5 linked regions of the Rattus norvegicus genome follow. The protein of the gene in region 3 interacts with the protein of the main gene of each other region in a pairwise test. Links are inferred from orthologs where the notes say so. Each region holds a gene or a part of one and is shown on either strand. Other genes may lie near its edges.

Evidence for each region.
Region 1: the proteins of Ube2e3 (region 3) and Mul1 interact in a two-hybrid assay, tested with the Homo sapiens proteins (2 studies listed by BioGRID and IntAct). The link is inferred for Rattus norvegicus from reciprocal best matches to the Homo sapiens genes UBE2E3 and MUL1.
Region 2: the proteins of Ube2e3 (region 3) and Cnot4 interact in a two-hybrid assay, tested with the Homo sapiens proteins (3 studies listed by BioGRID and IntAct). The link is inferred for Rattus norvegicus from reciprocal best matches to the Homo sapiens genes UBE2E3 and CNOT4.
Region 4: the proteins of Ube2e3 (region 3) and Rnf167 interact in a two-hybrid assay, tested with the Homo sapiens proteins (2 studies listed by BioGRID and IntAct). The link is inferred for Rattus norvegicus from reciprocal best matches to the Homo sapiens genes UBE2E3 and RNF167.
Region 5: the proteins of Ube2e3 (region 3) and Rnf111 interact in a two-hybrid assay, tested with the Homo sapiens proteins (2 studies listed by BioGRID and IntAct). The link is inferred for Rattus norvegicus from reciprocal best matches to the Homo sapiens genes UBE2E3 and RNF111.

Annotation. Positions count from the first base shown.
Region 1 is NC_086023.1:155,934,132-155,939,856, forward strand, and holds the start of Mul1 (mitochondrial ubiquitin ligase activator of NFKB 1), read left to right. Parts: upstream 1-1,980; 5' UTR 1,981-2,079; coding exon 2,080-2,199; intron 2,200-2,228; exon of another isoform or gene 2,229-2,404; intron 2,405-5,725. UniProt on the Homo sapiens protein: Exhibits weak E3 ubiquitin-protein ligase activity. E3 ubiquitin ligases accept ubiquitin from an E2 ubiquitin-conjugating enzyme in the form of a thioester and then directly transfer the ubiquitin to targeted substrates.
Region 2 is NC_086022.1:64,777,617-64,783,661, reverse strand, and holds the start of Cnot4 (CCR4-NOT transcription complex subunit 4), read left to right. Parts: upstream 1-2,229; 5' UTR 2,230-2,421; intron 2,422-2,607; exon of another isoform or gene 2,608-3,072; intron 3,073-6,045. UniProt on the Homo sapiens protein: Has E3 ubiquitin ligase activity, promoting ubiquitination and degradation of target proteins. Involved in activation of the JAK/STAT pathway. Catalyzes ubiquitination of methylated RBM15.
Region 3 is NC_086021.1:84,192,008-84,197,810, reverse strand, and holds the start of Ube2e3 (ubiquitin-conjugating enzyme E2 E3), read right to left. Parts: upstream 3,566-5,803; 5' UTR 3,215-3,565; intron 2,112-3,214; 5' UTR 2,083-2,111; coding exon 1,889-2,082; intron 106-1,888; coding exon 55-105; intron 1-54. UniProt on the Homo sapiens protein: Accepts ubiquitin from the E1 complex and catalyzes its covalent attachment to other proteins. In vitro catalyzes 'Lys-11'- and 'Lys-48'-, as well as 'Lys-63'-linked polyubiquitination.
Region 4 is NC_086028.1:55,857,035-55,862,863, reverse strand, and holds the start of Rnf167 (E3 ubiquitin-protein ligase RNF167 precursor), read right to left. Parts: upstream 3,611-5,829; 5' UTR 2,999-3,610; coding exon 2,915-2,998; intron 2,839-2,914; coding exon 2,758-2,838; intron 2,735-2,757; exon of another isoform or gene 1,848-2,734; intron 1,627-1,847; coding exon 1,501-1,626; intron 1,403-1,500; coding exon 1,315-1,402; intron 1,153-1,314; coding exon 1,062-1,152; intron 883-1,061; coding exon 777-882; intron 667-776; coding exon 573-666; intron 1-572. Other genes in the region: Slc25a11 (mitochondrial 2-oxoglutarate/malate carrier protein), read left to right, coding at 3,967-4,061, 4,586-4,738, 4,824-5,030, 5,204-5,294, 5,388-5,478, 5,563-5,662, 5,740-5,791.
Region 5 is NC_086026.1:80,001,444-80,006,740, forward strand, and holds part of Rnf111 (E3 ubiquitin-protein ligase Arkadia), read right to left. Parts: coding exon 5,176-5,297; intron 1,509-5,175; coding exon 1,253-1,508; intron 1-1,252. UniProt on the Homo sapiens protein: E3 ubiquitin-protein ligase. Required for mesoderm patterning during embryonic development. Acts as an enhancer of the transcriptional responses of the SMAD2/SMAD3 effectors, which are activated downstream of BMP.

The sequences.
Region 1 (5,725 bases), on a different chromosome or scaffold from region 3:
ATCAGGGGTCCGAGGACAGAGACGCAGTGGCACACTGTCACCCACAGCAGTCTGAGTTTCCCTAGACTTTTAGGGACTTAAGCTCAGACGAAATGGATTCCTGGCTTCAAGCAAAAACAACCATTCCAGGGCCAGTCAATATGATGAGATGGAGTTGGAGATTTTTATTATAGATATTTTAGAGGTTGGAGGAGGCATTGGGAACAAACTAAGACTCGCCCTAGTGTGGGTATAGGTTCCTCCGGGGAGCATAGCAATTGATTGGCTTAGCATTAGCTAGGCCAATTAGGTGGCTTTCATGCTAAATCTCAAGCAGTTGCTAAGATGCCCCCCCCTCATTTGATATGCAAGATCGAAGATGCCTTGGAAGGAGTTACAATCTAGAAACCCCAGGGCTGCATAAGGGGGCTGGTACATGCAGGTTGTCTGTAAAGGAGGTTTCTGGTGAGATTCCTAGAAAATTGCAGGTTTAAAGCTGGGAAGGGAGGAAGGCCTTGGGCAATCGTTAATGGTGCTGGAATTATTTTTTACATTTCTTTATTTATTGTGTACATGTTGGGAATATATGAGCCATAGTCTGTGAGCAGAGATCAGAGGACAGGGTTTGACCGTTGGTTCTCTCCTATCCCAGGCACTGAGCTCAGGTTTGACAGCAAGCGCAAAGCTTTACCGGCTATTTTACCACCCTTATGCTGGAATTCTTTTCTGGCGAGAGGCTTTGACCAAACTGCTGAATGAGGGACTTGTTTTTCCTGTCCCAACATTTTTCCTGCCTCAACAAATATTTCAAATTTTATCCAATCAACTGACTATTGCCATTAGATCATTTTCATTCTTTTGTTATTTAAAAACAACTCAAAAGAATATTGATTTGGGTCAATAGATCTATTTTGAGGAATTTAAGAATAACCTATAGGACACTGCAAGGAGAACTCAGGCTTTGCAGACAGATGTGCTGGCTAAGATTTGCGGCGTCTCTTGGTTGTTTTAGGAATCAGATGCTGGAGAGAAGTTGAAAGAGTTCTCGATTAAAGGTCTGATCGCATTTATACCACCCCCAACCCCCGTTTTTTTGAGACAAGGTTTCTCTGTGTAGCCCTTTCTGTACTAGACCAGGCTGGTCTTGAACTCAGAGATCCTGTCTTCCTGTGCTGCTTGAGTGCTGGACCGAGGGTATTTCTTAACCTGAGCCCATTTTCCCTCCTGAAGCCTGTACCGTGGCAGTGTTGAATGCAACAAAAGGTGGTCTGGAGGGGCTGGGGCGGAGCTAAGTGGAAGAACACTTGAAGCCCTGGGTTTGGGTGGACATGCAAGCATGGGACATGACATATAATAGTCCCCCAATAAAAACAGTTGCAGTTACTACTAAATAAACAGTATGCTGGTTTTGGGTGGCGATGGTAGAGTTATTTTAGCGATTCAGCTGGTGTAGAGGTTAAAGGTGGACTCTCCAGTTCTCCTCAGCCCTGACCATGTTCCCCATCCCCTCTGGCTGCAGTTTCTTCATCTTTAAAACCCAGGTTTCAAGGTTCTCCGATAGCTTAAAGCATAATGCTTCTTAGTGCTTAATACACATTTTACTTGGCTCCCCATATGATGGCAACGACATCAAATAATCCAGCAAGAGCTGGAGAAACAACTCAGTGGGTAAAGGCGCTTGCCACTATGGCTAAGAACTTGAGTTCCATCCCAAGGACCCATAAAGTAGGAGAGAACGGGACTCTCATATAGAGTCCTGCCCTCTATATGTGCACCAAGACACGCTCTCATAGGATAAGATGTCATTTAACGATAACAGAGCAAGAAAGTCTAGAAACCCGGAAGGAGCTCTCCCACGTGATCACAGCCAGCGCTTGGAACGTTCACGGTCCTCCTGGGATCCCTCCGGTTTCCCTTGAGGCCGCAGTAACGTCGCAACCACCTAGGCAACGTCTTCGGGTCCCCTTCGCCCCATCTCGGTGTCTACTTCCTGCGAGTACGTCATCAACGGGCGCCCGGCCTACGGTTTCCGGGAAGGGCTGCGCAGCTGCGTAGGGGTCGCGGGTGATTTCGAGGCAGCTGGCGCGGCTCGGGGTCGCCATGGAGAGCGGATCGCGGCCGTCACTCGGTCAGGTCATCCTGCTGGGCACCAGCTCGATGGTCACCGCCGTACTGTACTCCATATACCGGCAGAAGGCCCAGGTCGCCCAGGAACTCAAGGTCAGTGCGGAGTCCGCCAGGACTCGCTGGCTGCTCGCGCCCGGACGCACTGGGGAACCACTGGGTCGCCAGAGGGGACCCCAGCCACCTGCTGCATCGAGGCTGCCCCGCCCCTTTGCTCCGGTGTCCTCCGAGTTACCCTCAGTGTCATTGGACGTCACCGCAGTGCTGTAAAGCTATTTCTCGAAAACCTGCTGTGCACCAGGTAGTGAGAAAAACAGGCCATTGTCCTGGTGGAAATTCCATTCTAGGATAGCGGGACGTCTACACGTAATCGGATCGTGTGATAGGGTGCGAATCGGGTTGGAGTAGCGTAGAGAAAAGTGGAAGGGATAGGGAAACGGAGAGTTCCGTTTCTTTTGCTATAGTAAAATATTCTGACAGAAAGCAACTTAGGAGACGGAAAAGGGTTGTTTACTTTTCAGTTTCGGGTTACCATTAATCATCGCAGGGAAATCCAGGCAGGAACTTGAGGCAGCTGTCAAATCAAACAAACGCATGCGTGCTTAGCGCTCAGTTTGATTTCTCTACTGTTCACCAACCCAGAGCCCAGACCAGGGAATGGTGTCAGTCACAATACAACAGGCGAGTTTCCCCGCTTTTGTTAGAGCTGTCAGGACAGCATCTTAACAACTATGCCTACACAGGCCGACCCGATATAGACAGTTTCTTATTGAAACACTCTTTCCAAATGATTCTAGGTTATGGCCAGTTGATAGTGGGCGTCGCTGTTTTTTTTGGGATGGAGCTGGAGGATGTGGAGATTGGGAATGGCGGGATGATTCTAACTCAGAGAACAGCAAACTTAGAGGCTCCTGGTTTCTACAATCGTATTGTTACTTTAAAGTGTACTTTAAAACTACCTTCTCATTTGAGGGTTGCACTTAAACACCTCACAGCACACATTTCCGTCTCGGTTTTATTTTTGTCAGCTCAATGGTGACAGTGGGTATTTCCTGATGATTGCACATGAAGACATTTGACATTGAAAGGAAAAGTCTCACAGCTAGTGTTAACTGTCAACTAAGCAGGATCTGAAATCACCTAGGAGACAAGTTTTCTGGGTGCACCTGTGAGGCTAGTCTCCATTAGGTTAATTTTGATAGCAAGATTTGCCCTGAAAGTGGGCAGTGCTGTTCTCTGGGCTTGGGTCCTTGACTGTGGAAAAGGGAGAGAGTGGGCAGAACAGAGATGTCCAAGGCTCTGTTTCCTGAGTTTGGATATCATGTGACCAGCTGCTTTACGCCCCTTTACCTCGACATTCTACCTTAGTCAGAATTGCTCTTAAGGTGATGAGACACTGTGACCAAGTGATTTGGCTTATGCTTCCAAATCACTGTTCATCTAAGTCAGACAGAACTCAAACAGCACAGGGGCCTGGAGGCTGGAGCTGATACAGAGGCCATGGAGGATGCTGCTTACTGCTTTGCTCCTCATGGGCTGCTCAGTCTGCTTTCTTACAGAAGGGGAATCACTAGCCCAGGGGCAGAGTCACCCACAATAGACTGGGGCCCTACCCTCAATCTCTAGTTAAGCTGGGTTTTAGGAATTTTTCTCAATTGGGGTTCCCTCCTTTCAGATAATGCTAGCTTGTGTCAAGTTGATGTCCAACTAGCCACCTCCCCAGATTGATTGAGCATATCCTTGAACCGTGAAAAACCCAAATAAACACTTTCTCCCTTAGGCTGTTTTCCTCCCAGTATTTTATCACAGCGAGAGGCATTGAGACTAAGCCAGCTTGGAACTTAAATTTAGGTTTTTGGGTTCAAGGGTAGTATAACAGGCCAGACGGGAGTGAAGACTTCTATTGTGTCTTTCCCATTGACTATCAGACTATTGAAACAGTGGACTCCAAAAAATTGAAACTTCCCCCAGGAAGTTCCTGCTGCTGGGAGAAGGAGAAGCCAAGGACCTAGGGGTAGCCATAGGGAGAACTTGTCAAGATGGCCTTTGTAGGAAGGACTGGGTCTGAGGCCGTGATGCTGGGCAGGACCATATCTTAACCTGACTGCTCAGTTATGCCATTTAAGCCTTGTTTCCTGCAGGAGAGATGGCTCAGTTTAAGAGTACTGGTTGCTTTTTTTAGAAACTGTTAGATTATCAGCACGCACATGACAGCTCACAAATCATTCCTGACTCCAGTCCCAGGGGATCTTTTGGCCTCTGTTGGCTGTCAGGCATGTACATGGTACACAGACCTACATGCAGGCAAAAACACCCATATAATAAAAAGTAATAAAGTAACATTTTGCAAAGCCCTTACGTTTGTGTGAGGACCCAGAGGTAAAGTTGGGGTCAAGCCACTGCTATCTATGCCCTCGCTTGCTTTTCACTGTTGATTTAGCCTTTTTAGTTGGCTTATTTTTTTTTGTTGTTGTTTTTGTTTGTTTGTTTTGTTTGTTTGTTTGTTTTTGGAGCTGGGGACTGAACCCAGGGCCTTGCGCTTCCTAGGCAAGTGCTCTACCACTGAGCTAAATCCCCAACCCCTTTAGTTGGCTTATTAAGGACCAGCGGCTGAGGCTGGCTAGTTAGGAAGACAATGGCATGGCTCTGGCCGTAACTCCGGCAACACTATGCTCTTTTCTCCTTTCTTAGTGGACCGCATCGCTTTGTGGCACCTGTCAAGCCGACTCAGAGAGATAAATGCATTCGACAAGCAGTAGATGCTCAGTGCATGTTGGTGGTTTTATTTTTGCTTGAATTTCACAGTCCATCAGCCAGGGGCTCGTTGTAGCATTTGTATGGAAGGTAAACTCTGGAACCCACATCTTCTTATCACCAGATTGATTTCAGTAAGGGCCCAGAAACAAAACCGTGGAGTTCCTGCAGTGAAAAGGGTTGGATCAGAAGTTCACAGTGCTAACAAGGCAGAGGCAGGTGGATCTCTGAGTTCAAGGGCATCCTGGTCTACTTAGTAAGAGGCCAGCCAGGGTCACATAGTGAGATCTTGTCTCAAAAACAAAAACAAGCCAAACAAAACCAAAAAACCAAACACAAAACCAAAAACACCCAGAGTAACCAACAGAACATGTTGAAGGGCACCCTCAGATGCACGCTTTTCTGGGCCAGCCTGTGGTACCTGAGACTTAGTTCCTAAAAGAGTGAAATAACCCTTCCTGGGGAAAGCCGTGGGAGCCCTAATGTTAGATTTTCACCTGTTGGTCAGAACGAAACTGAGAGAGCTGAATTTGTACCTTACTCTGGTGTTTTTGTCGGTGACAAGAATGCTTGATTATTTTACGGCTTCCATGTGTCAGCTCTGGACTGTATTTTCCCATACCCCAAAGTTCATTTCTCCCACCTAAAGAATTCCATGAGATGTCTTCTCCCTTCCTTTAGAGTTTTGGAAGCAGGCTCAGAGGAGTGAAGCTGTTCGAAATCATCAGGGATACCCTGCAGCTTGAGCTAGCCTGGCTCTGCTGAGGTTCCTCCTGCAGGGTGCCAAATGGTTAGCGCCTTGTTTATTTGAATGTAAACGTATTCACGTGAAGGGAGTGTTTTGTTGAATTGGAAAGCAGATGGTGAC
Region 2 (6,045 bases), on a different chromosome or scaffold from region 3:
TAATTATCCAAAGTCTAACTTGCTTTACACATGAACACAAAGTTGTTTGTGTTTTTAGTTCTGACAAATAATGAAATAATGAAATAATTTAATGGTGTAACTAAGGGTAGACAGGTGTTGTCCACCAGAGAGAGAGACCAAAAAACACCTGAATCAGTTAGTATTTATAACTTTCACATACATGAAGATTTTGTTCCAAATGCTAGAAAAATGACGATTGTATTATATTTTTGGGACAATCATGTTTATGGAAATATAGACTTTACTGTATTTTTTTTTTTTAATTTATCTTTTGGAATTGAACTCAGGGTTTTGTACCAGGCAGGTACTTTACCATTTAGCTATGTCCCAGGCTTTACCTTTTTTTTTTTTTTTTTTTAAGATTTATTTATTCTATATAAGTACATTTTAGCTATCTTCAGACACACCAGAAGAGGGCATCAGATCTTATTACAGATGGTTGTAAGCCACCATGTGGTTGCTGGGATTTGAACTCAGGACCTCTGGAAGAGCAGTCAGTGCTCTTAACCACTGAGCCATCTCTCCAGCCCACCTTTTTTTACTTAAAAAAAAATAAATTTTTTATTTAGTTTATATATGTGAGTACACATCCCTCTCTTCAGACACACCAGAAGAGGGCATCAGATCCCATTTACAGATGGTTGTGAGCTACCATGTGGTTGCCGGGAGATCTCTGTAGCCCCTAACTTTTTTACTTTGAGACAAAGTCTCATAATACTATGTCCAAATGTGTGCTTCTTTTTATATTTTTTAAATATTCTTCAGCAATTTCATACGTGTATAAAATAAAATTTGGGTCATTTTTATCCCCGTTCACTCCCCCACCTCCCCTATAACCTCTTTCTTTTCTCTTCGATACCAAAGAAACCGGTCTGGCTTTTTTGTAATTTTTTGTTTTTGTCCTCCCCCCTCCACCACCACCCCCGACAGGGTTTGTAGACTAAGCTGGCCTTGAACTCAAAAAGATCCACCAGCTGCTACCTCCAGAGTACTGGCCTATGCCACTATGTCCAGCGACACTGAGATTTTAAAACTTCAATTTCTTTCCCTACTTTTCCCCTTTCCTATTTTAAGTCCTCCCCTCCAGCCTTTTGCATTCAGACCTCAAGTGTGCCAGACTAGCGCTCTACCACTGTGCTGCAAGCCACAGTCCCATCCTATGTATTTTAACCCTGGATTTGAAAACTTGTGTCCTTTCACTTCTCCAAACCCCAGAATGGTGACTGACAGATTTGTGTTTGCTCTCTTATATTTTCCCGGCAAATGGTAAAGAACTAGGTACCAAGGAGCTCAGTACTTACATGAATAGGAATACAGGCACTAAACAGAACGACCGCTTCAGAAGCGCCACTCACACCAGAGTTCTAGGAGGCAACCCGGGAAGTCCAGTAAATTGATTTTGTTACTTAAGGTTTCTCGGTGCTCGAACCGGCTGCGGTTGCATTATGTCCTTTGAGACGTGTTTATTTGCGCAGTTTGCGAACCTGACCCACACATTTGTGCAGGCTGAACTCGTAGCCAACAAGAGTATGCAGTTAAGTCCACATTCTTTTCACATCACCAGCAACGCATGCTACTCTCTTGAGAAACGTGCACAAGGCAATTCAGGTATTTCTTCACTAGTGATTTTACCGTAAGGAGGATGAGCTCAACCGTACTGGTGTCAGGGCGCGCCAAGACCGGGAAACGAATTAACATTCACTTTCCCAAAAGTATCAAAGCCTCACTCTAGATCAAATCCCGCGCTCTTGCAATGCTCAACCTGATTCTACCGCCACACCGCCCCCGTCAGATACCTATCTACAGAAGGCGGGGCAGAAAAGACAGGTCCTCGCTTTCTCCGAATCAGTTAAGTTTCGTAGAATTTTGGTTTCCTACATTTCAGCTAACATTACTGAAAACCGCCGACCACATGACACAGTAGCCACACACGCGGGCAGAGGAGGAAGCAAAACAAGAAGAAAGCCGGCGCTCCAGTAGCCACGTGAGGAACGAGCTCCCGAGCGCCTTCTCTAGTGATGACTTCAATTCCCGGCCTGCCCCGGGGCGGTTACTATCGGAGGACTACAACTCCCAGGGTGCAGCGGACCAGTCCGCCGCAACCTCCCACTCGCCCGCCTGCCGCTTGTCCCGCCCCTCCCCCGCCCCTCCCAGCCGGATCGGCATGCGCCTGCGCACCGGAGGCCGGAGGAGTCTTACCCTAATGTAAGATGGTGGCCCGTCTAGCCGTGGAACCCACCGAAAGCTGAGAGTCTCTCTCTCAGCCGTAAAGGTCGGACTCACTGAAGCAGTCAGGCCCGGTTCTGAAGAGTTTTTTCGCCGACTCTCGTTCATTGGTCTCCTGTGAGGACTCGGCAACGCGTGGAGTCGGCTAAGAGAAAAGCGAGGCAAGGCAGGCGGGTGAGTGTCTGCGGGGCTGGGCTTAGGGGAAACCCGGCGCTGACCGGCTACGAGAGAGCGGAGGCTTCGCTGGGACTGTGCAGGCCGCACCCCCCTTTCTCCCCACCCCCCCACCCCCGCCCGCCTCGTCTTCACCCTCCTCCTCCTCTGGCTACCTCCTCCTCCTCCTCCTCCTCTTCCTCCCTCTCCCCTCTACGCCACAGCAGTTACCACCAGGAAAAGGCAGCCCGGCTGGAGGCAGCGCGGCGACGAGCGCCGGCTCTCCTTGGAGAATTTCTTCAATTGAGGACCCAAGAGGGCTTCTCATCGCCAGTTTTTCCCCGCATTTTTCTGGCAACAGTATCCTTAGGTCTTGGTCCTCCTGTTTCCCCAGCCCCCTTTCCCCTCTGACGTCCTTTCCTACTGGCCCCGGTCTCCCAAGCAATAGCCTTCCACTCTGACGGGTGCTGCTACTCACTGTCCACCCGTCCTGCTTGGTGCTTGGGGTTTTTTTGCCCTTTTTTGCCCCGTCCCCTCCACTGAGGCCGCTCTGTTTCTAGCCTCTGCCCCCCTCTGGTGCTTGCAAATCAGTCCCCAGTCTGTCTGCCAGACCCAAGTTGATTCCGACGTGCAAGTCTCCTTTAACCACATCTGTCATCTTAAAGCCACCTCGTGAGTATCTAAATCATGTTACTGCTCCGTTGCTCCGTGTAATCCACCTGTTTCTCAACCTACTTGAGAATTGTCGGCTCCTTCCCTCTTTCCTATGCAGATTCTTTGAGTACACATTCCCAGAAAAGAGGAGATGATGCCCCTTGTTGTTCCTTGAAAAGTAAAGGAAGTTAGGAAGTGAATGAAGTGAGTAGGAGACTATTAACGTTAAGAGAAAAGATCTTTCTTCAGGCTACTCAGGAAATGAATGTTTTGAGTTTTGTGATCTTTTCGTTGCTCATTCGCTGTCTTCTTAATTTCCGACCTTCTCCATGCCACTCAGCGCTCTCCTGAATTGCCTTTCCTCAGGACACTTGATGTTGGCTCTGATTATACCCATAAAGATCAGCTTAGCATTTCAAAACCAGGTGAATCTGGCACACACACACAGAATTCATCCGTGAACATCACATGCAAATACAAGTGGTATTTTGACTGTCTGCAGATTACAGATTCCTTTTGTATCAATTATTGGCTCCGTTATATTGATGTTATGATAATTGATAACATTTATTTCCCCTTTTGATCCGTGAAATTCCCTCTTTTGACGTTTCTAGGATAGGAATTATCAGAATAAATTGTATGGAAAAACACATTGGGAATGTATGTAAAAGAGAAGTTGATATTTTGGGGTAAACTTAAATTCCTTTTTTTTTCCATAGAAAAGAAGGGGGCTGAGAAAAGAAGTGACAAAGCTGTGCATATGCACGCTTTCTGTGGTACTTAGCTGTTATAACCTGTAGTCAGAACTAGAAGAGCAAGGAGTGGCTTATGGTCTCTACAGTACAGTGAACAGAATTGAAATGTACTAGTTTGCTTAACCAGAAGTTAGAGCCTTTGCTGTAATACACCACAGTGACATAAAGAATTACCAGAACAGCACAAACACATTGAACATAAGACACTGTGTTCTTAATATATATGTAAAAATATTTAAAGTCACAGTGACATTCTCATGATACACTATGTCCCTTATTTGGGGAAAAATATTTACAGCTTAAGTGTAAATACAAATGCAGTTCCTCTAGTCACTTTTGCACATTACTGAGTTATTGTAAGTTTTACATATTTCACCTGTAAAGCTTGAATATTCTTAGATTTGATATTGCATTAAGTTACTATGAAAAAGTCTTTAAAAATGTGAACTAATATTAGAAAAGCTGCTCATAAAGCTTCTCCTTCTTCCTCTTGTTTTCTCCTCCTCTTTTTCTTTCTTTCTTTTGTTAGACAGGGTCTTTATGTTAGCTCTGACTGACCAGCAATGTAGATTAAGCTGGCCTTGAACTTGTAGACATCCACCAGACTCTTCATCTTTTCACTTGTGGCCAGAGCTCTTTATTTCAGCCACTTAAGTCTCTATTTGGCAAAACTGAATAAATCCCTATTCTTCTGAAAATTGGAAGCATTTTAAATAAGCATACCTTGTTTTTAGCTATACTTTGAAGTTAAAGAGAAAATAATACTTTTCATTTAGCTTATCCATAACTTGCCTTTAACTCCAAGTATTAAGTAGATGCTGGTGGAAAAGCTTGCCACTTTGAACAATCTTGTCTAGATACTCTTGGCAGTCACACTCGGCTGAATTGTAAGCAGTATGTTCTAAGGAGAATACTGTTTGTCTGATAGAAGGAGGTGAATGATTTTTTTTTAATACATCTTTTCTTTTGCAAGACTATTTTGCTCACTAAATACCTTAAGTAATTTCTCCTTTTCTTCTAGCATAGAGAAGATGTAAAAAGTTCTTTGACATATTGACAGGAGGAAATATGCTGAAATTTATAAATATTTCTGTGTAGTTTTTATTTGTAACATATTTAACATGGAGGCTTCATGCTTAATGGTTTTCTCTGATACTTTGGAATTATTTCTGCTAATCAAGTAGTTGAAGTCTTCAAATGAATAGATTGTTTGTATAAGGATTTTAAACATGAGTCACTTAAAGTTGGTTTACCATATAATTTTTCTGAAACTTGCATCAACAAACCTTTAATTTGATTAGGATGAGAGATATAATCAAACAGCAAATAACAAAATAAAAGTGTTTTGTGACACTTGTCAACTTACTTCTAGATGGAAATACTAGAGATAGCTTGTAACCCATTACTTTGTTTTTGTGGTCTTAACTAGCACAGGCCATCCTGGAACTGACTGTGAAAGTTGTCTTCAAGCACAGGGCAGTCATCCTGCTTCAGCTTCCTTAGGCTGGAATTACAGAGTGAACCACCAAGTAACCAGTACTGGATAACTCATTAGTTTGTAAAAGACAGAGGCCATTGCCAAAGGGTGAGCTCCTAGCATTAGGAGAATTTTACTTATTTATTTGTGTGGCAAGACCATGGAGCTTCCTGCATGTTAAACAGTGGCTTTCAGGAGAGTGTTTCTGTAAAATGGATTTTGTGTCCTAAGAGAATGAAAAACAATTCATTTAAGTAGTTTGGATTTAGAAGCTTTTCTTTGTCTTCCTTCCTACTCCCTGTTTTAAAAATGAGGCAGCACTTTTCACTTTAATGTTTTGTTTTTTTTAATGTGACTACAAGTAATTCTTGATTCAACTTTGTTATTGTTTTTGTAGACCATGTGAGATAGGGTAAATTTGAGAAAGCTTTTGTTTCTGCTGGAAATTCATATAGTTCTGTCATTACCTATAATATCTCACTCCACTGTGTGGGTCTTTTTTTTTTTTTTTTTTTTTTTCTTTTTTCTTTTTGTCGGAGCTGGGGACCGAACCCAGGGATTTGCGCTTTCTAGGCAAGCGCTCTACCACTGAGCTAAATCCCCAACCCCCCCCCCCCCCCATTACCTATAATATCACCTTGACTTTTTGTGAAGAAACTATAGAGATCTAAGTTGGTTTTTGAAACCAAAACAGTAGGGAAATAGGTTATAGAGGTTTTTGCTGTTCTAGAAACAGTATAACTAGAATGTACTACATAC
Region 3 (5,803 bases):
TTCATGCGCGATCATTCATCCCCGAATATCCAAACAACAGAATTTATTTCTTACCTGCAGTTAGGAGGAGGATCAAGGGTGATCTCAGCTAGCTCCTTCTGAATTCTGTTAGTGAAATGAGAACAAACCAAAAGGATCTGAGGTAGTCTACAGAGCAACCGGGGAATTACACTGCCCTCTACCACCATGCAGTTAAATGCAAGGCTGGCTTTGCCTTCAGTAATGCTAACATGGCTGCTTCCTCTTTGTTCTCAGAGGCATAACCCAAATCCCTTAGCAGAAACTTTGCGGCTCTTTTTCTCACGTGCAACTGTAAATAAGTGAGTCATTTACACCTGATTCGGGAAATAGCCCCTTCTGACTACTCAGTGAAGGATATATAATCTATTAAAAAACATTTTTTACCAAAGAAATTCTCTTTTCAAGCTTATATGCAAATGAGACAAAAAGGGAGGAGGGAAAACACCAGAGAATTTGACAATGACTTCAAGTCACTTTTTACTGAGCTAAAAATTAATAGACTGCTACAAGAGCATATTAATGATTTGGGCAATATTTTAGCTCTCAGAAAAGTTTAAAATTTGTAAATATCTTTGCCAATGAAAATTTCAAAGTAGCATTCATATTAGCTATGAGTGTGTCTTCTCTGATTTTAGATACACCTTTAAGGGTCAATAAATCTGCAGTGGGGAAGAAGATAGATAAATATATAAGCAAAAGGCAACTGGCTGATTTTCTTCAAATTCAGGGTATTTTTCAAAACTCGGAACATGTTTAATATGTTCCTCCACAAGATTACAACAAATTGGACATTTCAGATTATTTCAAATAGTGTTCCTGGTTAATAAAATATTCTAAAGCTGTTAGCATTTGAGTGATCATTAAAGTTTGAATCACAATAAAAATGTAACATCTGATCAGTTTTTACATTTTTCTTCCTTCATTTATACCCTACGAAAATCAACGAAACACCTGTCCTGGGTAAAGTGGGCACATTTCATCTTAATCACTGGTTTCTCTGGACAACCCAACACTGCTACCACTTGGGAGTTCCACTGGCAGAATCTTTCCAGTCACCACAGAAAATTCAAGCCAATCGTGAACAAATGATCTTTCACTTTGGACTTTCCCCCTGTTGTTAGACTGTCAAGCTCATGCAGTGCTAGAGTGAGGAGGAGGAGGAGGAAGGACGGGGTGGTTTCAGTCACTGGGTAGCACCTAAAATGGTAACTGGCCACTTGTGAGTTGTGTTTGCCCTCACAAGAAGGTGGAATAATAATAGCGCACCCACGGCTGCGCCTGTGCTGCAAGACTTCAGTCCTCTTCCTACAAATTGTAAGCAAAATTTAAGCACACTTTTAAGAGCTGCCTTCCACCATGGCCAAGCCTGGTATTGACCAATTTTCTGGTAAATATTGTCATTTCTGACCATTCAATTTTATGGAGAGAAGCACTGCTGGCCTCTAGATTTGTCAATTTCACCCAAGCATGACTCACAAAAGGAAAGCTCTCCAATGGACCATCTAATTTGGGTTCGCCAAATTTCCCTTGCCAACTCCTTCATCCGTCAGAATGAGCCCCAGCTCTTCTGGAGACGATCCTCGAGTTACCATACCATAGTACAGAACAAAGTACACTTGCTTTAAAGTCAATAGTGCTAGGAAAACTGTATACACACACACACACACACACACACACACACACACACACACACACACACGCCACACGCCACACGCCACACGCAGAATGACAGCTCATTCAAGTTCAAATACGTTTACGTTTGATGGAGAAGTATTTCTGAACTACTGCCACTGAAGTTAAGCCAACAAAAGCAACCAATGGGAGGGAAGTCAAGCTGACAATGTGAGTCCTCCCTTGTAGACATTACCTTTTAGCACTAGTGGATAACTTAGCAGTCGTTTTGCTAGAGAGTTTGGTGTTTTTCTTCTGCTGGGTGGCAGAAGGTTTTCTTTCTTCCTGTTCCTCAGGCTCTGGAGCGGCAGGGTCTCGCTGGTCTGCATCTGAACTACCACTGCTGGTGCTAGGGCTCTCATCATCCGACCTTTGCCTATCACTGGACATCTTGGTGAAGTTATCTCTGGGAAAAACTTCTAAGGAGAGAAGGGACCCATAGAGAAATATTAGATCTTTAAAAAAAAAAAAAAGAAAGAAAAAAGAAAAAAGAAAGAAAGCAAGCCCAGCAGCATGCTCCTCTCTCAATAAGCACCTTTGAGAGTATCTCATTGAAAAGGATTCGAAAGTCCCTGTAATTATTACGGTACAGCAAGGTTACAGGGAGCCTGGCATGTATTATAATGCAGTCGTTGAGGGATTTACCAAATGCAAGTTAGAAAACCCACTCACATTTTTCCCCATCCCTTAGACAATCTATCAATTGTCTACTTTCTCAGAAGGCATGAAACAGATTTGCCAGGGAACTTGGGCAACGGGCATTAATAACATATGACAACTGTAAATAACAGATCTCGCTGAGAATGTTCAGAAGTCACTAATGCCGTCTAAATATTTACAGGCTGACACCGGTCTGAGCTACCAAATCCTCCTTCCCAGAGGGAAACATACCCAGTTAGTCGCCCATATGCTTATTTACGGTGGCGGGTCCTCCCGTGCGCACCGAAAGCCTTTGAACACAGCACTCGAATTAAAAAAAAAAAAAAAATCCAACTGGCAGCCACCCCACAGGCGTCCCCACGGCCGGCGGCGAGGCTTCACCGGGCCAAGCCCGAGCTGCCACCCAGGGAAGGGCAGGATCCAAACTGCACCTTCTGCAAAGCTCCGGGTGCCATCGACGTTCCCCGCTCAATTCCTCCCTCACCGACCGACATTTTGTCAAAAAAAAAAAAAAAAATCCGCAAAGCGGCCAAAAGCCCGAGGGCAAAACAAACAAACAAACAAAAGCCCTCCCCCACCCCGCACCCCCAGAAGTGCAACAAATTGGCGCCGCCCGCCCCGGGGCTAGCGCTGGGCCACGCAGCTCCGCGGTCCTTTGTGGGGAGGGCCGCGCAGGGGACCGCGCCACTGCGCCCGCCCGCCCGCCCGCCCGCCCGCCCGCCTGCCGGGGGATGCGGGACCCGCCGCCCCGCGCCGCTGACTGACGAGCGCGGCTGACTGAGGAGCGCGGCGCCCGGCGCGAACAAAGCTGCCGCCCCCGCCCCCGCCGCCCCCCACGCGGGCCCCGGCCCCGCCGCCTTACCTCGGCCGCCCGCCCGGCCCGCTCGTGCGCCGCTACGCTGTGGGGGAGGGAGAGCGCCGAGGAACCTTCCTTGAGGAAATGGAGGCAGCCTGGGGGGGGGACCGGGGGGGCGGGAAAAAAAGCCGCCGCCGAGGCTCCGGCCCGGGAGTGTGGAACATCGAAAGTCGCAGGCGGCCGTGCAGTGCCGCGCTGCGGCCGGAGGGTGGCGCCGCCCCGCGCTCCGGGAGCCACGGTGGGGTGGGCGCTCCGCCGGCCGAGGCGCAGGGACGCGGGAGCCCCCCGCGCGCTCAGCCTCCCGCCGCCCCGCTCGGCTCGGCTCGGCTCCTCCCGGTCGCGCAGTCAGCAAGTTCCGAGCGGGCGGGCGGGCGGGTGAGCGAGCGAGCGAGCGAGCGAGCGGGGGAGGGGCGGGCGCGGCGGCGGCGGCGGCGGAGCGCGCGTGCTCGCCGCCTGCCTGACGGAGGGGGCGCGAGCTGCTCCCGCGCGCCCCCGCGCGAGCGCGCTCCCGCCGCGCCTCCTCTCCACCGGGTTGGGGGGTTGGGGAGGTGGGGGCAGATGCGCACGCGTCCGCCCGCGCGCGGCCCGGACAAAGAGCGCGGCGGGGACCGGCGGGCTGGCCCCTGCGCCCTTGGCCGCCGAGCTCGTACTGGAAGAGGAGGAGGAGGAGGCGGGGGCGCGGTCTCGCGGGGCCGCGGGTGGCTTCCGGCCTGAGCCCGCCTCCGGGCCGACGCTGCCCATTGGACTACCCGCCCCTGAGGTTAGGGCCGGGCGGTTACCCGGGAATCCCGTACCTGAGCGAGAACCCTGGCGCGTGGCTGGGGCTTCCCCGGTGCCCTGAGAGGCAGGAGATGAATGGTGTTATTGAGGAGGCCAGGCACGCAGGCAAAGGAAAGCTGCTTCTGGCCCCTCTGAGCTGAAAGAAGTGTGGCAAGGTAAAGAAAAGTCTTGGGCCCTCAGCGAGGTGGATGGGATTTCGAGACCAGGGGACCAACATCAGCTAATCTCTGGCTCCCATCCTGCAATGTCGCTGCCAAAGGGGACTGCCCTCTGGACGCTTTGAAAACTAAAAAAAATCCCAAACTGTTTTTTAAATGTCCCGCTCAAGATGTACAAAGTGGAGTGAGGAAGTTTAGGGGTTATAATCTGACAGGTCTGGCGGCAGGCTCTGCTTTGCAAGAGAGTCACCACTTAAGGATAGAGAATCCATGGAGGGTTCTAAGGCAGTGTCTTCATTAAAAGTTTTAGATAGGGATCCTGAAGGTGGCTTTACTCCTGCCTTTCTTTTTGCAGAATCTTCAAATGGAGGCCACTTTTGCCCCAAGCACAAAATAGACAGAAGTACAGAAACTTCCTGTTTGCAGCTCCTGAGACCATGTTCCGGTGATGGAACCTCAAAGGAATTTGTGCATTCCTCTCCCACAAGTGTCCAGGGGCAGGGGTGCTGGGAGAATGAGTTCACAGAAGAAGCTAGAACAGCAGAGCCATAAGAGATAAGACAATGTGCAAGAGAAAGAAAAAAGAGAGTGAGCCAACATACGAGTTTTCCTCCAAATAGGAAAGCTTTGGTAAAAAGGCTACTCGAAACTAAATAAGTCACATCTGTAACTTCAAAGACACCCATTTGGCAAACTTACACAAACGGGTTATATGCTAGTATATGCTAGGCACATAAACTCCTTCCAAAAGTGTGTCCAGAGCCAAGTCTGCTCACTTCCTGCCAAGAGGTCTAAGTCTGGAAGAGACCCCATCACTGACATTCACCTGGATGGGAAGAAGGAAGGATATTCCAGTTTGAACAAAGTCGTGTCAGAAGAGAGATAGTGATCTGTCTGTGGATCAATGCCCCAACACTTTGATTTGACTGAATGAAAGGGTTCAGATGGACGGGGTCTGAATCAGAAAACTCCCAACACTACATTAAGGAAAGGGCTCTAGAGCAGCAGCCTGCCAGTTTGGGCATTGTTTGGGGAGGCAGCCTTGGCTTCTGAGGGAAATTCAATACCCTAGAAGTAGCCTGAAGTTTATTTGGTGAGTTTGGATTCATGGAGTCCGATCGTCAGAATACTTGGGAACTACCAAATTCTTAAGCAGTTGGTGATGTACTTATTACTGCTCAGTGTGTAGTTGGGCAGAAAGAAAATAAAGACTGAGAAATGGTTTATTACAGGAGAATGAAAATGGGATTGGAACAATATTGACCACCAATTAAAAAGTAACTGGTTCAGAAGCAGCCTTTCTGTGGAGAGTGGAAACAACTGTATACAAAGTCGAGAAGTGCCCTGTGCTAGGTCCACAGGATCTAGAGAAGTATTCATTTATGTGAGGACAACCTTTATGTAATAAAAGTTTCTTTAAAGTTAAAAAAAAAACAAAACTAACTATTGGGGCTATTAATGCAGCTTGGAGTTGGTGATGGACTTGAACCAAGAGAAGTTATATTAGGCCGAGCCTGGAGGGACCAGCAGGACTGGAGAAGTATACACAATAAAGACAACGTTCCTGGCAAAATGTCTGCAAGCTGTTCTGGGAGATCTAGCTCAATAATAGAGTATTTGCCCACGTGCTCAAGGGCCTGGATTTGATCCCTAGTAC
Region 4 (5,829 bases), on a different chromosome or scaffold from region 3:
ATTTTGAGCTGCTGGGAATCAAACCTAAGAAAGCTCACTACACAAGGCTTATTTCCCCAGTTTTTTATGCCAGTGCAAACTTAGGGCACATAAAACCTTGGGGCTAGAGGGGACAAGCAGAGATAAGGGAAGTGGGTTGTGGGGGTGGGGAAGCAGAACTGGGAGGGGCAAGGCTTTTGCTATAACCTTATATGGTCCTAGAGGCTACAAGTCTAGAAAACCCAAGCCCTCACCTGCTCTGAGTTCTTTCAGCTCTTTACATCTTACTCTACACCCCCATACACAAGGCCAGAAATTTCCTTTGTTCATCTTTGCTTTCTAGCCCGTCCTACCCTAGCTCCTTTGCTTGTGGTTAGTTGTTGGTAAGAAACAACCAAAGGGGGCATCTTTCTGGCTCTTTGAACCCTTGGTCTACTTACTGGGCTCAAAAATCCTTCAAGGCGAGGGCAGCCAGGAGAAAGGGTCCCATTCCAGTGCCCTTACCCTTTTTTTTCTCTTTTTTTTCGGAGCTGGGGACTGAACCCAGGGCCTTGCACTTACCACTGAGCTAAAATCCCCAACCCTGCCCTTACCTTTTTGATAATCATGAGTAGGAATCTGTTTCAGTTGCTCTTTGGTAAGTCTGTTCCGTTGAAGCCGTTTCCGGTGCTGGATGCAACGAACTATCTAGGGGTAAGGAAAAGTGGACCAGGCTTAAGAAATAACTGGAAAATCCAATAAGACCTCCCATCTACAGATCCAGTCTGACCTTCTAAGTTCTTTCCTTAGGTACTTACCAATACTGTTCCCATGGCCAAAACCAGCAGTCCTACAATCCCAGTGAAAGGAATGAGGTAATAGCCCAAGGGGAAGCTATTGTCTGGGACCAGAAGCACCCGAGCCCTGAGGAAAAAAAGACAGTCTCAAGCCAGGCAAACTAAGGTTACTGGCTTGGGACAAGGCATAAATGAGAAAATCAAAACAGATGAGGAAGACCCTGAACCTGAGTGGATAGGGCAGTGAAGTTGGGTTCCAGACTGGCATGGAACCCAAAAGAAGACGGAAGAAAGCATATGTCCTACCCCTTCTCGTAGACAAAAAGAGCTCGTAAGTACTCTGCACTTCTCTCTCCGATAAATACAGATGGGATCCAGATCTGTTGTTGGATTTCCTCTGTAGGGAGCAGGAGATTAGGGATTTAACCTTCCATTCCTCAATCCCCTGAAACTGGCTTTAGGCACATTTTGCAGGTCTCAACCAACTGCCCTGTAGGTCTTTAGCCCTCCCACTGAACTATATGGAGAGACCCAGCAGTACAGACTTCTTCATCCTCACCACTATTCCACACCATGTTTAGAAGTTCATTGGAATTCACGTTGTGTACCACAGCTGCACCATACCCAGCTTTCTGAGCATTTAGGACCTAAAAAGACAAAGCAGGACAGAGTTGCAAACCTTGCCTTTCTTCATTCCTGGTGTCATTTTACCCTGCTTACTACCACCCGTTCCCCATTCAGCAACCTTGAGGTCAAAGTTGCAGTCGAATCTTCGAAGCAGTGCAATAAAGACTGACCCATTGACTGGGGCTGAGGGTGGTGGGGCAATAGGACTGCAGGCATTTTCTGGGTGGGCCTCCACAAGGAACCCCTGAGGGATAAAGGCAAACAGATTTTTCCATCTTTTAGTATTCTGTCTTCCACAGGACCTACTAAACATAACAGTACACATACTACCTGTATTCGGCAACTCTACCATTACTCATTCTTGTGGTCCCACCCAAATCAGAATCTACAACTCAGGTAGACATGGTGATACATGCATTTAATCCCAGCACGTGGGAGTGCAATGAGTTGGGAGGCCAGCCTGACCTGCACGGTCGGTGAGTTAGGGACAGCCAGAGTTAGAGTCCAGTCTCAAAAAAACAGAAAAGATCTCTTAGCTTCCTGAAGATGCAATTACAGTAAACAACATCCCTTTACCCAGAGGCTCCCTTGACTTCTCAAGGCTAGTTTAGTTCTGCTTTTAAGTTTCCCAGGGACAGTGATTCAGCTTGCTACTTATTTGACTTTCACAGCATATTCAATTGCTTCGTTTTCCAATTAGCCATCTTACAACTCTACTGCTGTGGCAGTAGTTATGTGGCAAGAACTTCGTAATGAACTCTACAGACATGCTTATCTCACTAGTTAGCACAATAGCCCTAAACTAATTTCTATTACTTGTTTTCCAATAAAAGACTGTCCACAGCCATCCATGCAGATAGTAAGTAGCTCCAGAGACATGGCTGATAAGCACCTGTTCCTTATCTTAACCTGTTCTCAGACTTCCTCTTAAATTTGGAAATTCTAGGGGCTGGAGATGGCTCAGTGGTTAATAGCACTGGCTGTTCTTCTAAAGGACTTGAGTTCAGTTCCTAGCACCCATGTGGCATGGCAGCTCACAACTGAGTGTAACTCCCAGTTTCAGGGGATCTGACACCCTCACACCTAAGTACATAAAGTAAAAAAATACCTGGGAGTTCTAGGGGTGGACATTGTCTTTTATCTCTAGATTCTGGACTCTGGGCTGGACACGATCATGCACATGTTTTTTCGGGGGAGGGGAGGGTTGCTGGAGATTCAACCTAGAATCTCACTCATACTAGGAAAAGCACCCTATCACTGAACTGTATCCCACAGTCCAATGTATTCCACTGCTATCTCAACCATTTCCTACCTCCTGAGCACGGATACTTAACCCCTGCCCAGGATACACGTAGGGAAATGAGGAAAGCATCACCTGGAGTCCCTCATCGCTCAGAGTGGCCCCAAATAGAGCTGGAAGGTCTGCAAAGTCCATGCTGGCATTGTGCTCCGAAGTCTGCAGATAAAACAGTACATTTTCCAGTCTGAAACCCATTCTCAACACCCTTTCCCCATCCGACCCTCAGACTCACCGCTCGAATAAGCCCTCGGATAGGGGCTGCTCCCCACAGCACAGTAGCCACAACAACAGGGAGCGGGAAGGCCGCAGGGTGCATGGCAGCAGGAGGGGTAAAGCTGGGAAGGTCGCGTCCTGATAGCAGGAGCAGAAGCCAAGTCCTGCGCCTTCTCTGCCTCTCCTTCAGGATCCCAGGGGTCCAACCACCCCTAGGTCCCACTTCTCAGCTACATGGGGGCGTCGGGGAAGGAACTCCGATTCGGGAAGTGAGCTATCAAACCAGCTTAGTGGAGGTGGAAAGGGAGACAATGTATCTTTCTCTGGTACAGAAGTAGAACAGAATAGGAACGAAGGCAAACAGGTAACAAAAAATAACTTCTGGGTGGGAGAAATCTCAAGGAGGTGGGACTTCCGGCCAGGTAGGCCTTCTTCCTATGCCCCTGGAAAAGGATTTCCGGTAAGAAAGGCCGCTTCCAGTATTGGACGCTCAGGACGGAGGACTTCCGGTCCAAAAAGGCCGGTTGAAAGAAATGTTCGACACGTAGAGCGTGCCTGCGGAGATGAAGGGAGCTCCGGTGCTCAGCAAACGATCTAATTTTTTTCCCTTAGTCCCTGAGATCTTGGAGCTACCTGTTTACAAACCTCTCCTTCTTCTGGCCGCCGCGATACGTTCAAGTATCGCGAGAATGCTCACCAGCCTCTTACCCCCTCCTTCGCCGCTGGAAATTACCGCGAGAGGCCTCATAGCTCGAACTCGACTGACTCACTTGCTCTCGCGATATTTTCAAACAAACTATTTTTCCCGCGATTCCAATTCTGGGGGGCGGGAGCTACAGGGTAGCTTCCTAAATCGGCCACGCCCCTTCGCCTTGCATCTTAGCCCCGCCTTATTCCCGGCTGCCTTTGCGCTACGAGCCTGCGCCCGCCCTAGCTTCCAGCTGGAGCCAGATTTGCCTGTCGGAGGGGCGTGCGCGCGCGCGCCCTCCCCCTGTTGCGCGCTGGTGTCACCTTGGGCGCGAGCGGGGCTGTGCGTGCACGGGACCCAAAGCCGAGGGCCATCAAGGGACGATGGCGGCGACGGCGAGTCCCGGGGCTGGCCGGATGGACGGGAAACCCCGTACCTCCCCTAAGTCTGTCAAGTTCCTGTTTGGGGGCCTGGCTGGGTAAGCTCAGGCCCCAGGATTGGGGAAAAAGGAGGAAGGGATGGGAGCAAGCAACTGGGCCCAGTGCAACTTGGGAGTATGTTGCAGTAAATTGAGCCGGTGCGGGGTCCCTGATGGGTTGCTAAGATCTATTCACCCATTGCAGGGGCCCAACTGGGCTGTATTCAAGGGTCATTGCCCCGTGTTTCCACCACCATTGCTTCACTGTGCCTGTTTGGGTTGTGGGTCGAGGCCACTAAAGGCTTTATCATAGGACACCTTTTCCACCCTTCCTTAGACTTCCTGTAGTCCTAATTCTGCTTGAACCTTAAAGAACTGCCCGAAGTATTTTGATTTGCGTGGTCTTTACTGGGCAACTGGACTTTTTCTGGCACATTTCCCTTGATGCACACACTTAAACACATTCCCACCAGCCTCCTGAATCCTTAGTTGCATGTCAGTCCCTGACCTTTGTAACTTCTTGCTGCCAGGTTACAGTAGAGCTGGAACAGCTGACCTCTGATTTCTTCCCTGTCTTACTTAAGGATGGGCGCTACCGTTTTTGTGCAGCCCCTGGACCTGGTGAAGAACCGGATGCAGTTGAGTGGTGAAGGCGCCAAGACTCGAGAGTACAAAACCAGTTTCCATGCCCTCACTAGCATCCTGAAGGCAGAAGGGCTGAGGGGCATTTACACTGGGTACTGTGGCCTCAAGTTGGGGAGGGAGGTTGCTGGTTGGCAGGTTCAGACCTTGGCCGGATGTGCTGACATTTCTACTCCACAGGTTGTCAGCCGGCCTACTGCGCCAGGCCACCTACACCACTACACGTCTTGGTATATATACAGTGTTGTTTGAGCGCCTGACTGGGGCTGACGGTACACCCCCTGGCTTTCTCCTGAAAGCCCTGATTGGCATGACTGCAGGTGCAACTGGTGCATTTGTGGGAACACCAGCTGAGGTGGCCCTCATCAGGATGACTGCTGATGGCCGGTGAGTTCCACGGCTAAGCTGAACTCCAGCCCCATTCCTGGAATCTAGGATGATTTCCTTGTTGTCGTTTGTCTTTGTCTACATCAGGGCACTTAACTGTTCAGGCTTCCCTTTCTTTGATCCTATGGACCATGGGCTGTCCTGATCTTGGCCTTTCCCTGCCCTTCCCCCAGGCTTCCAGCTGACCAGCGCCGTGGCTACAAAAATGTGTTTAATGCCCTAATTAGAATTGCAAGGGAAGAAGGAGTCCCCACACTGTGGCGGGTGAGCGAAAGGGTTGGAGTCTTAGGGGATGTTGGGTTAGATCTCTGGCCTTTTTGACTCTTGTCTCTGTTGTCTCCATCTTCCCACCTCCAGGGCTGCATCCCTACCATGGCTCGAGCTGTTGTCGTCAATGCTGCCCAACTTGCTTCTTACTCCCAATCCAAGCAATTCTTGCTGGACTCAGGTGAGAGATCAGGCTGAGCATTTGCTGCCCAGTCCGGCCTGAGCTACCTGAGAGTTGACTACCTCCTTCTGCCTCACCTCCCAGGCTACTTCTCTGACAACATTCTGTGCCACTTCTGCGCCAGCATGATCAGTGGCCTGGTCACCACTGCTGCTTCCATGCCTGTGGATATTGTCAAAACTAGGTGAGTCTCTAGCCTGGGATGGAGAGCTCCGGGAGGGTCCCCTTCTATCTTTCATGCTCATATTTCCTCTCTTTCAGGATCCAAAATATGCGAATGATTGATGGGAAGCCAGAGTACAAGAATGGGCTGGTGAGGAGGCAGGGAGGGGGAGCTGGATCAAAGTGTAT
Region 5 (5,297 bases), on a different chromosome or scaffold from region 3:
TTAGAAACAGTAGAATAGGAGCTGGGGATTTAGCTCAGCGGTAGAGCACTTGCCTAGTGAGCGCAAGGCCCTGGGTTCAGTCCCCAGCTCCGAAAAAAAAAAAAAGAAAAGAAAAGAAAAGAAAAGAAAGAAAGAAAGAAAGAAAGAAAGAAAGAAAGAAAGAAAGAAAGAAAGAAAGAACAGTAGAATATATATGACACACTTTTATGATAAAGATAAAACTACTTTAAGTCAAATAGCAGCAGTCAAATTACATCCTCTGCCTCATAGATAAGGGAAAGACAGGAAGCCGCACAGAAGGTCTGAGTAGGAAGGGGAGGCCTGAGGACCAGCAGCAAGTTTAACAGAATAGTTCATTGTTGTCTCAGTGTTCACATTAACTGCAAAACAAATTGTTTCTAAACACGTTCCAACTTAAACTTTGTATTTTATACTGTAATAGTGAGGCTCAAATAATATGTCACTAGTTTTATTGTTCAAAGTTTGGCCTGATTCTACCAGATGTGTCTGCAAGGAAGAGATTTTACTCCTGAAGTAGAACAAAGTCAAGATAAATAACAGAAATGTACACAACCAATATGAAAGACAGCTTCCTTACTAACTCGCTGGTCCACTCTCACGTGAGCTATTAACAGGATTTGTTAAGCTTCCATTTTATAGTTAGCTCAGACTCAAACAAAATACTAGGGTTGGGGATTTAGCGCAGTGGTAGAGCGCTTGCCTATTAGGCAAGCGCAAGGCCCTGGGTTCAGTCCCCAGCTCCGGAAAACAAAACAAAACAAAAAAAACCAAAAAGAACAAAAAGAACAAAATACTAGGTAATATAGCCCAATCTAGTAGATTCCAGTTTCCTTATATAGCTGCTATGCCTGGTTCTGCTGTAGCTGCCCATTTGAGATGATATATAAAACTCTTTTTCCAAATGGCAAGACCTTCTGTCACAGCCCTCTCTCTTATGTCTTAGTTGACTCAGAAATATTTGAATAAAATTTAAGAGTTCTTGAACAGATTTCCTTTACTGTGCCTAGAGATGATACAAAGTTTTCACATTTCTTCATACTCTTAAACCAAATTCCTTAAAAAAAAATTTTTTTTGTGTAAGAATATAAGGTACCACTCAATACATCTCAATTTCATAGACAGTTATATGGGAAAAATAAGTCCATTTTTAAAGCTGACTAATACTGATAAGCTAGGACTGGTGTAATTCCATTTTCACACTCTAGTTCTTTGCCCCTCAGTTCATACTTACAAGGAGGTGGCATGTAGTGCCGACATGATGAGAGAGAAGGCTGTGGAGGTGGCTGGGGCTGGGGCTGTGCAACCATGCTGGAGCCATAGCCATCTATTGATAATGGCTGAGTTGGGGCTGCAGCAGCCTGATGGCCAAAGACTGCAGCCCGGGAAGAAGAGACAGGGCAGCAAGGGTCAAAGGCAGATGCACCATGGAAACCCCCACTTCCATGAGTCCTGAGAGCACTGTTGCTCAGATCGACTGGCAATGCCTGCTGGGTAAAGAACAATTAGAGTTTACCTTTCTAAAGTTTCATGAAAACATCATTTCTTGTCACATGAAAAAAGTATCCCTATAGTTCTCTAGAAAAACAAGGTCTTTGATGAATTTGGAAATGGCAATTCTTTGTATGACAAAATCAAGCACAAAGAAAATAATATGTAAAGCTAGAGCTTTAAATATAAAATATAAGATAAACAATTAATGTTACTGTAAGATTTATTTCTTGGGGCTAGAGAGATAGCTCAATGGTTTAAAAACTTGATGCTTTTGCAGAAGACCTAGGTTTAATACCCAGTATCCAAAGCAGGTAGCTCACAACTGCCTGAAACTTCAGTTCCAGGGATCTGAGGATCTGAGGCCCTTTTCTAGGCATGGACATGAATGCAAGAATGAGGTGTATAAAGACAAGCAAGAACACGCGCGCATGCGCGCGCACACGCACGCACACACACACACAAAATTTGAAAAGCAAATTAAAGATTTGATTGTTCTTATATTATGTACAACTGAGAACACAAGGTTTGAAAGCACACCTTCGGGGTTGGGGATTTAGCTCAGCGGTAGAGCGCTTGCCTAGCGAGCACAAGGCCCTGGGTTCGGCCCCCAGCTCCGGAAAAAAAAAAAAGAAAGAAAGAAAGCACACCTTCTTTACTCTGAAATTCTAACCAGGACTCCAGAGACAGTATGCTATCACAGCACTGAAAATATCAGAATTCTAGTAACAATCTGTCAAAAATTTCTACATTGTTTTATAACAGATTAAAACTAACAATGGAAAAAAAGATTTAAAAAAGAAAGAAAGAAAGAAAAGAAAAGAAAACCAAGCAGCACATGGTGGCCCACAGCTTCCAGTCCCACACTTGGGAGGCAGTGGTAGGAAGACTCTGAACTAGAGGCCAGCCTGACATATACAAGTGGGTTAGAGTTAACATTTTCTCCTCTTAAAGTATGTGACTTGAAAAGTTCAAAGTACACAGTAGGGTAACTACAGCCAACAACAATGAGTATCTCAGAATAGCTGTAAGAGTCTTCATGTTCCGCTGTAAGAGTCTTCATGTTCCCTACATGGAAATGATGACTTTTGTGATAGACATGAGGCTACTCTGTTGATCTTCACATATTCATTATATACATGTATCAAAATTACCATCTAGAGAAACAGACATAACTATGTGTTAGTTATGTAAAACCCCCAGGAACACTTGGGTCTCACTCTAAAGCAGATTACAAAGAAATAATTGTTGGGGGGTTGGGGATTTGGCTCAGTGATAGAGCGTTTGCCTAGGAACCACAAAGTCCTGGGTTCGGTCCCCAGCCCCGAAAAAAAGAAAAAGAAAAAAAAAAGAAAAAAGAAATAATTGTTGGGTTGTTCTTACTGTTGATATTTTTAAGTATTTTAAACACAATGTCTACTAGTTAGGTTCAGTACAGTTGTGCTTTCAAAATGGATCTGGCCAGGTGTGGTTGATATACCTGTCACTCTAGCCCTCAGGTAAAAGAAGCAAGGTGAGCCTAGCCTACATAGTGAAGATCTTATCCCTGACCAGTGTCAAACATGGATAGAAAGATGGTTCTGAATGAGGATACAAGTTTGATTCCTCCAGAATCTACACGAAAAGCTAAGTGCACACCTGTAATCTCTGCACTGGGGAGGCAGAGAGGACAGTTCTTAGAGTTCATCCCTATCAACAACACCAGTCTGCTGTCCATGAGACAACTTTGGGATAAGCTATCCCTTCCTTTAAAACAGTGGTTCTCAACCTTCCTAATGCTGTAACACTTTAAATACAGTCCCATATATTATGGTGATACCCAATCATTAATCTACTTTCGCTGCTACTTCTTAACTGTAAGTTTGCTGTTAAGAATTGTGATGTAGGGGTTGGGGATTTACTAGCTCAGTGGTAGCAAGGGCAAGGCCCTGGGTTCCGTCCCCAGCTCCGAAAAAAAGAAAAGGAAAAAAAAAAAAAAGAATTGTAATGGAAATACCTGTGTTTTCCACTGGTCTCAGGTGACCCTGTTAAAAAAAGGGTTGTCCAACCCCCAGAAAGAGTCATGACCCACAGGTTTAGAACCACTGTTTTAAGGTAACTGGAACTGGTAAAGACAGTCACCTACTGACTCTGAGCAAAAGGAAGCATTGTTTCTGTAATTCAATCTCACCTGCACCTTTATCTTTTATTTTCTGAGTCAAGGTCTCATTACATATTCCTAGCTATCTTGGAACTCTATAGAATAGGCTTGCCTAGAACTCACAGAGATCCACCTGCTTCTGCTTCGAGTACTAGGGTTAGCTACCTTTCTGTCTGACTTCTGTTTGTCCCCACCTCCCTCCTTTTTCTTTTCTTTTTTAAAAATTTTTTTAAGACTTATTTATTCCCCAGCTTCCAAAAAAAAAAGATTTATTTATTACATATGAGTACATATTTAATATTTATTATATCTGGTGTCCACCAGAAGAGGACATCAGATTCCATTGCAGATGGTTGTGAGCCACTAAGTGGTTGCTAGGATTTGAATTCAGACCTCCCTCCTTTTTCAAGGCAGGATTTTTCCAGTGTAGCCCTGGCTGTCCTTGAACTCAGAGCATTCTGTATCTCAGAGTACTGAAGTTATCTCTTAGCCAACTGTATTCTTATCAACTACAACAAGAGAACACTATGTGATAAACTCCTTTGTTGGGAGCTCTCTCAAGAATGGGGAAGCTGGTGGGGCTACCCTGCCATGGCCTACAACTCTAGTTAACTTCCTCTCCTTTCAACTCCCATTGCTGGTAAAAGGAGGCTTTCCTTTATGGCAGAGCCTTCAACATACCTCCTTCCCCAGAAGTACAAAAGCTTCAGATAACCATTTAATATCCTGAACTGTTAACACAAAGAAGCAAAACAACATCTGAAATCCTGCTCATTATTAAACTAACTCTTTTCAAATTCCTACTGGAGAAGACCTCTCCATTATTGTCCCAAAAGAGACAGCCAGCAAAATTTAAAGGCAAAACTTGGTGCTTCAGGAAAGGTCAAGAGACACAGAAAGGCAGCCTTTCTCAAGGTATCTTGGCTCTGTTCAGCCACATGACAACTAAAAGTTATATTAACTTCCCTGAAATAGTATCTTTTGGGTTTGTTTTTGTTTCTAATTGCACTGAAAGAGAGAGAGAGAGAGAGAGAGAGAGAGAGAGAGAGAGAGAGAGAGAGAGAGAGAGAGTGTCAGTGCTCATGCATATGTAAGTCAAAGAACAATTTGTAGGAATTGGCTCTCTCTTCTCACTATGTGGGTTCCAGGGACTGAACTCAGGTCAGGCCTGGCAGTAAGTGCTCTTACTCACCATGCCATATCCATGACCCGACAAGTGAATTTTACGATAGCTATCATGTCTACTTTTCCCCTTAACTGTTTGTAATAATTTTAACTTTCTGTATACCAAGACTCAATTTAAAAATTCACAGCTCATTAAATTAGTTCATTTTTGCATTCAAGAATATGGCTTAGTTTATAAACAAATTCATTTTGGCAACACATACACTAAAATATATCACTGGGATTTTCTACTTCTTTATGAACACAACCCAAGTTTAAAAGAAAAAAAAAAAAAAAAGGAAGAGAAAGGAAGGAAAGGGGTACAGGGAGAAGGGAGGAAGTGACTTGTAAAACCCACACACCTGGTCGTGGTAGCTGGAACCAGAGCTGCTATTTGCTCCACAAGGCGCCTGTACTTGAGGTCTTTCCACAGGACAAGCAGGGTCACTGAAGGAAGGAGAAACTGGGACAGCTGGGTGGGGAG